Rhinolophus ferrumequinum: one gene and its partner. The protein of the gene in region 1 binds, or shares a complex with, the protein of each later gene. Links are inferred from orthologs where the notes say so. Each region holds a gene or a part of one and is shown on either strand. Other genes may lie near its edges.

Region 1 (3,747 bases):
TCTTTAGGACTCAGTGTTCAAATCTGTGAAATAGGGGTAATAAGCACAGTTACCACATCAGATTCCATTAGAGGATGTCTGCCACGCACACCTGGTAAGTAGTAAATAATAACAAACAGAGGTCATTATTATGGATATAAAGAATCTGGGGACAAAGGCAAAATGAGGGATTAGGGGTGGAAGTAGACAGCTGCTCATGGCCTGCCTGACCGTGACCTCTTTGCAGAATATGATGACTTACTTCATGAACCTGAGCCAGGCGAACGCGCGCGGAGAGGCGCGCTGGGAGCTCGAGTACAGGGTGACGGAGGCCTACGGGGTGCCCGACGCAGGTGCCCGCTCCATGCACGCTGCACTGGGCCGCATCGCCACCGACCAGGACACGATGCAGCGCTACTACGTCTACAACTCTGTCAGCTACGACACGCGAGCCTGCGGCGAGGTCTGCCGCGCGGAGCACGTGTGCGCGCTGCGCGAGGTGGCCTTCGACGCGTACGCCGCCTGCCTGCGCGCCCCCGGCTCTGGTCCCGCGCCCGTGCTCGCGCTCCTGCTGGCCGCGCTGCTCGGCCTGTGCGCACTGCTCCCGCGGTGACGTTGAGCGCCGCCTGCCCGCTAGCTGTGTTGTCTTCCTCCTGGTGAATTGGGGCCAGCGTCACCTATTGAGAACTGGAATTTTACATCATTTACCCCCGCGTCCAGAGATAAGTGGGATGGGACAGTCAGATCAGGAAATGAAGCTCAAAGACCCCCTCCCCCCACGACGGACATTTCTTCCAAGTTTCACCTTTTATGGGGGAGGGGGGAACGCTCATCGTGCATCTTATTCTGCGTATTATTCCTTTCAATTTGTAAATAATGTTTAAAGCAACTCCTTTACACAGTCACTGAACGTCCTCCTGTCCCTCCATACGGATCTTCAGAATAAAATGAGCCAGGAAGATGCGCCTCGATGATCCTGTGCTCTCCGTCTCCCCAACACACTGCCCGAACTCGAAGCACAATTAGTTCGCGAAGTCCAGCGATCTGCGGTCAGAACAGGCCTTTCTGGGTTTTTTTACGCCGCAGTTCTAGCCCGGGCGCTAATCTCTGGGCCATTTGGGCCGTCTTAGGCCTCCAGGAGCCTCAAGTGCAAAGCAAGAGAATCAGAAGCCTGCTAAACTAAGGGCAGTACACCTTGGACGGCCCGTCTTCGGACCTAGCGGTCCTCGGGGCTCAGCGGGGCTGGGTGGAGGATTCCGGGGAAAGCTGCAGACAGGGCCTGCGGCCTTGCGAGGAAGGGCCTTGGGGGCAGGCCGCGGTCCTCGCTCCTCCCAGGACTAGGCGGGACAGGGAAGTCCCACCCAGCCGGCCCGGGCCCTGGGCGGCTCCGAGGGCTGTGCCCGCCTCCTTCCTGCCGCTGCATATCCCTGCCTGGAGGGCGGTTCCCAGCCCAGAGGGAAGGAGGGAGAGGGGCTGGCGCGTCATGCCCTGGTCACTGCGTGCCAAGCTCCTTACGGACCTGATCCTGGTCATCTGGGGAACCGCTGCCTTCCTGATCAACCTGGGCGCCAACCTGTGGGCCGCCAGCCAGTATGTGCTCAATGGTCGTTATGTGTGGGCCGCACTGGTGCTGACGCTGCTGGGCCTCTCCTCGGTTGCACTGCAGGTCTTCAGCTGGGTCTGGCTGCGCGCCGACCCGCCTGGCTTGCACGAGTCGCAGCCTCCGGGCCGCTGTCTGGCGCTGCTGCATCTCCTGCAGCTGGGATACCTGTACAGGTGAGCGCCCCGCCCTCGGGAGGAGGGAGGGGGAACAGAGCCCAGCGGTACCTCCTGGAGCTGAGCTGCTAGTACAGGTGAGAGCCCTGACACGGAAAGCGGGTAGAGAGGAGAGGACTGGAACACAGGAGAGAAAATTAAGCCTCCGTGGGCATCTCCACTTGCAGGTGAGCTTCCGGTCCCTTAAAGAGAACTCTGGCTGACAGTCCTCGGAACTCATCTAGCCCTACCCTTCCTGGCACAGGTGAAGAAACTGAGGCCCAGAAAAAACAGGGAGGTGCATGATATGGAGTCAGAACTCTCTGGGATTCTGGCTTTACCACCTGTGACCTGGTTTCTGCCTTTCTCTGAATCTGTTTCCTCCTCTGTTAAAAGGAGGTAGTTGTCGCTTCCAGCGCAACACGGGCAGTGAGGGTGCGAGAAGGGGCAGCTTTGGGTTAAGTTTTTAAGAAAGAAACATACAGAGACTTAATGCAGTTAAATCTCAGAAGGCCAGGGGTCTCACAGTCCTGAAAGACTGGAGCCCAGAACAACGCCGACTGGAGGTTTTTATTGATAAGTATACAAGGGGGTAGCAGTGTTTTTGGCATGCTCTGTGGGACTCACTTATCACGTTATAGAAACAACCCAAACCAATTATGTTGATCATAGTTGATCACAGTTGATCACAGCTGAAGCAGAAAGTCCTTGAGGTGAGGTATGCAACTCTTTTAAGGGACGTATATCACATGTCAAAATTGTTTCACAGAGCTGAGCAGAGCTTAATCTTATCACTCTCAAGACTTTTCTCCCAATTAGGTGAGAGGGAAAAGTCAGAGCCAGCAGCTGCTTTTCCCAGGCAGGGGGAAGAGGAGACAAGGCCCCTTCCCAAATCTTTTTAAGGCAGCTCATGGCGGTCTCCATGGGGTTCCGCCTGGTTTGAGTTGCCCCCACCATGGGGAATCTTACTCGTCATTGTCCGCAAACCCTCTTTTGGAGACTAAATAGAGAGAAATATACAGTCCCAGAGATGCACGGTCTCACAGACTATTCTTTCCTTAAGGAAAGACACGGGGGTGGGGGGGGCAGTCTGCTAGGCTGTTGTGTGACAACAGGTAGTAATGTAGAGATAGGTCTGGCAGGCAGGCCTGTTGTGAGGAGTGAAGAAAAGAGCACAGTGCTTGGCTCCTGGTGCACTGTAATGGCAAAGACTTGCAGACAGTCCAGTGTGTTCCTTTTAGCTGCAGAAGGGGCCTTGGGCAAGTCACTGGACCTCTCCAGGTCTCAGTTTACTCCTTGTTTCAGCGAGGATGGTCATAGTGCCTGCCTCTGGTAGGGATTAAATGAAATGAGACCTGTGAATTGAGTGCAGATATCAGCTAGCTTCATAATTACCTGGCTCATACTGGGAGTTTCAACAGCCCTGGCCCCTAGAGCAGTGCTTGTGCCCTCACCGCTGAGTGTCTCTCATCCTTTCTTTCTCCCCCACCCTGACTCCTCCCCACACCCTGACTGAGCAAGAGGGCAGAGATGGGAGTCTGACTTACCCATGTCTCCAGAGCCAGCCAGGTCTGGTCACAGGCTGAATCCTGGAAAATCGGCATGGGTGTTGCTCCTTTCCAGAACTGGCAGGGCCCTCTAGTGATGGGGAAACTGACACTAAAGGGTCAGAGTCATGCAATAAACTCAGGACTCCGTGGGGTCTGGGTTGGGATGAGGTGGCTGGAGCCAGGATCTGCTCTTGAATCCATTTTTATAGATTCTCTCCAGATCTTGCCTTGACAAAGCTGCACTGCGTTTCCAGGAGTGGGTGAGAGAAGCTTTGAATGTTGCAGTTTTGCCCGAGGGGACTGTGCAGGCATCAGTAAAACCCAAGGTGGGCATGAAGGGGCACACTTATTACCATCCAGGTAGGCCTCGATGGGGCCTGAATCTGTAACTACATCATGCATCTTCCCTTCTCCTATTTCTTCTGAGTGTGAGGCATATAGAATGCACTGAGCTTTGTTTTTG
Region 2 (3,747 bases), on another chromosome or scaffold:
ATGCTTGAGAAAGTTTGAAAAGCACATCTTCTGGCAACCCCTGGCCAAACCCAGGGCCTAGGAGATGGTGGGGAGCAACCCCAATCCACAGGGAGTGGAAAGTGAAAATTGCATTCCAGCCCTGTGACTGTAACCCACGCTCTCAAGTAAAGTCACCTTCATCTAAAAACAGCCACCCCTGCTCAGTGCCCACTAGGCAGCCAGGCTGGGGAGCAGGGCCAGGCAGGCCTCGTGGTGAACTGCCCAGGAGCTATCAGGATGAGGCTGCAGGTCCCCACCCTCCTCCCACCCACAGCAGCACTGCAGGCCCCAGATAGGAGCCAAGAGCATTTCTGGGGACCAGCCGTGGGCTCCCCACCTCACCACCCTCCTCTCCATCCCACCAGGAGGCAGTTCAGAGAGGCCAAGTCATCAGCCCTTGGAACCCAGATGGCAAGCCCATGCCCTCCCAACGTGCTGGCCGGAATGACAGGACCCCGGGCAATCCTAGGGATAGCCAGGGTCTCCCAGCAGAGCACCCAGAGCATTCCTGGGGTGCTGAGCTGGCCTGAATATGCAAACACTGTCACTAAGTCACTCCTCCCAGGGAGAAAAGGAACATGTGGTGACATCCTCTGAAAGACTTTCAGATATTTTCAAGAGTTCCTGGGAAAGGGGGAGCTGTCAAAAGTAAAAAAGGAAAACAAAACAGACAGGAGTCCCAGGGGGTCAGAGGGCATAGTGAACCCCATGCAGGGAGCATGCAAGAAAAGCCCCCAACCTGCACCCACACAGAGCCTCCTGGCTTCCTGGCTGGGGCTCTGAGGCGAGGAGCACACTGGGGGGCTGTGCGCCACAGCAGAGGAAACCACGGTCCCTTAACCCCCTTGGCTGTCTCCAGCCACCGAGGCCCCAGCTGCTTATCTTCCGAATTCACTTCGACTACGGGTCCTACGTAAGTCTTTCCAGAGAGCGCTGGTGGGCAGACAGGTAGCCCAGAGGCATTCGATAAATGGCCGTTTTGATTATAAGAAGAGGAAGAGGCGAACTGAGATCTTAAAGTAGGTCAGGAGTAAGCCGGTGAAACTTCTACAAGAGGCAGCCCCTCCAGGGCTCAGTGCCACAAAACTTTCACGTCTGCACTTTGCTCCCTACATGCCGGTCACTAAATTGGTAACCCAGAACCAGAAAGAAAGTCTCCACAGGGGAAGAAAACGTCTGTCAGGCTTTCTCCTGGAAAACTGCACCTTAACCCATTTTCCCCCCGAGCCTTCTCCAAACCACATCTGCCCACCCCTAAAACCCTGCCCACTCCTCCTAACAGCTCTGAAAACTGAATGCTGTTTGAGAGTCTGTATACACAACCTTTTCCACTTCCTGCTCTGAACTGGGTGGCCAGGGCGACCTCACGGTGACCTTGGAACATCCCCCTCCCATCCGGAGCCTCAGTTTCCACCCCTGTAAAAGGAGGCTGGTGGATTAAACCAGTTTTATCTGTGCCCAGAAATCAGACAAAACCTAAGGCAATAGAGCATGTCGGCCTCCCTACAAGGGTTTAAAAGTTTGGGTGAACACCAGGAGCAGATGCACACCCAGGAGAGTCGGGACCTAAATCCCAGCAAGAATGACAATCCCTGCCAGTTCGACGGCCGCCAGCTTCAGGGACGCTCAAGTGCATTTGCTTCCAGCGTCCACTTGAGGACAACAGCCCGCTTTCCAGATAAGAGCTAAGCGCCCCAGGGAGTCCGGAGGGCCCTTCTCGCCCCTTGCCCCGCACACCCAGGCCGGGGAACCTCACCCTCAAGTTGCTTCCTCAGGTCCCTGGGCCCCCGATCCCAAGACCCAGCCGCTTCGTCCCTTCCCCAGCGGGGGAAGGGTGGGGGGCCGCTTCCAGATCCCCTCCCCAGGTGCCCTCACCAGGGGTCACAACAGCTCCCAGACCCCGCCCTCCCCCAGGCCGCCAAAAATCTGGGACTTCAGTATCGTCCTGGTCGGATCCCCGAGACCCCAAGCCGGGGCTTCCCAACATACCACCTCGGCGGGGAGTCCTCGGAGCGCCCCAAACCCCGGGCACTGTCTCCGCCGGAGCTCACGGGTTCCCCTAGGAGGACGGGGCTTCACCTCCACCCCCGCCCGGCTGGACCCCCGAGGGCGAACCCACGGCCCCCGCCCGACCAGTTCTCACCCGCCCCGGTGCCTCTGTCAGCGCTCAGCAGCGCGAGCCCCAATACTACAAGCAGCGTTGTCGCCATGTCGCCGCCTTGCCCGACGCCAACCACCGCCCCCGGCGCTGTAATAATCCAAGGGGCTGGCTGGGCGCGCGCACGCAGGGCGGTGTCGCAAGGGCGGGGCGCGCTGGCCGCCGCCTGCGCACGCGTGTAGACGCACGTACGCACGCGCTGGCCCTGGCAGGCTTGCTCTACGGAAGCCTGGAAGGCGGCGCATGTGACTCCGGCGCGCCACGCCCTGCGGCCTAGGGGCGTGGCTACGTTGCTAAGAAATGCGAGCGAGGCTTTCATTCTTTTAGAAAGTGTTGAGAACTGAACTGTGCACTCAAAAGTGGCAAAAATGCTCAATTTTTATTATGTGTATTTTACCACAACAAAAAAACATTAAGGGATCCTTGTGAACAGGTGGGATATGTTCCCTGGGGGGACAGGGGCTGCCAGGTTTAGCAAATAAAAAGACCTGGACCACGGTTAAATTTGAATTTTACACAGGGAACGAGTGATTTACTAGCGTAACTATCCCGTGCAACGTGTAGACATAGAGATGCAAGAAAAATACTCGTTATTTATCTGATTGTTGCTATTTATCTGAAATTCAAGCATAACTGGCAGTCCTGTGTTTTGTCTGGAAAACCTACCCTGAGGTCCCCATGTTTTACCGTTTTTCCCCGAAAATAAGACCTACCTGGAAAATAAGCCCTAGCATGATTTTTTCAGGATGCTCATATTATAAGCCCTACCCCAAAAATAAGCCCCAGTTAAGATTGTCAGCCAGACGGACACATTTAGTATGTCTGTTGCAACACACGACTGACGTATTGAATTATAAAATAATATTTATATATAATTAAATATAAATAATATTATTGGCATTAATACTTAAATAAATGATAATATAAATTATAATTAAGTATTTGTAAATACCCAAGCGGGCGCCTTCGGATAAGAGGTAAACGCCTATGTAAACACATGAACTCGAAACTTATTGCCGAATGACCAATCAGAGTATAAACACAACTCACGAATAACGTGTGCACTTGATAACGAGCAGACGTGGTTGTGTCTAATATGAATCTTCATAATTCAATACGTTGCGTATTGTAATGGACGTACTTAATGCACTCTTGTGAAATAAAGAAACCTTTTCTGAATTTTGGTGCCTGCAATTTTTCACCGCTTTTGTGTGGACCATCATTCTTAACTATCATCATTTTTGTTGTCACTCCTGTCTCGTAGTCTTCAATTAACTCTTGATTTAATGGTACGTTTAAAGGGAATAATATTTTGACCCCCAGACAAGATGAGAAAGAGCTATTCTGTCGAGTATAAGAAAGGACTCGTGGATTACTCCTGGGGCAAGAATCTTCCGGCTTTCTGCAAAGAGAAGAAGTTGGATCTCCGAATGGTCCGAAAATGGCGAGCAGAGTACAATAACCTCAGTCAACAGGTGGACGAGGGAAATGCTAAGAAGCGCAAGTGTGGATCAAGTCAGCAACCATTATTTCCTGAGCTGGAAGAGATCATCTGTGAATGGATTGCT

What was found. Proteins that work in one complex are often made in the same cells at the same time.
Region 2: the proteins of XKR8 (region 1) and BSG are in contact, whole or in part, in a cryo-EM structure (PDB 7DCE), measured with the Homo sapiens proteins. The link is inferred for Rhinolophus ferrumequinum from reciprocal best matches to the Homo sapiens genes XKR8 and BSG. Residues at the interface, in NP_060523.2 of Homo sapiens: His232, Leu236, Val239, Leu242, Trp243, Leu246, Gln247, Arg280, Gly283, Arg284, Ile287, Phe291, Ser294, Asp295, Leu298, Ala301, Thr302; in NP_001719.2 of Homo sapiens: Trp326, Pro327, Gly330, Ile331, Glu334, Val335, Leu338, Val339, Ile341, Ile342, Phe343, Tyr345, Glu346, Lys350.

What each region holds. Positions count from the first base shown.
Region 1 is NC_046292.1:19,181,388-19,185,134, forward strand, and holds the start of XKR8 (XK-related protein 8), read left to right. Parts: upstream 1-1,364; 5' UTR 1,365-1,462; coding exon 1,463-1,755; intron 1,756-3,747. Other genes in the region: SMPDL3B (acid sphingomyelinase-like phosphodiesterase 3b), read left to right, coding at 227-592.
Region 2 is NC_046301.1:62,250,423-62,254,169, forward strand, and holds the start of BSG (basigin), read right to left. Parts: upstream 2,348-3,747; 5' UTR 2,232-2,347; coding exon 2,165-2,231; intron 1-2,164.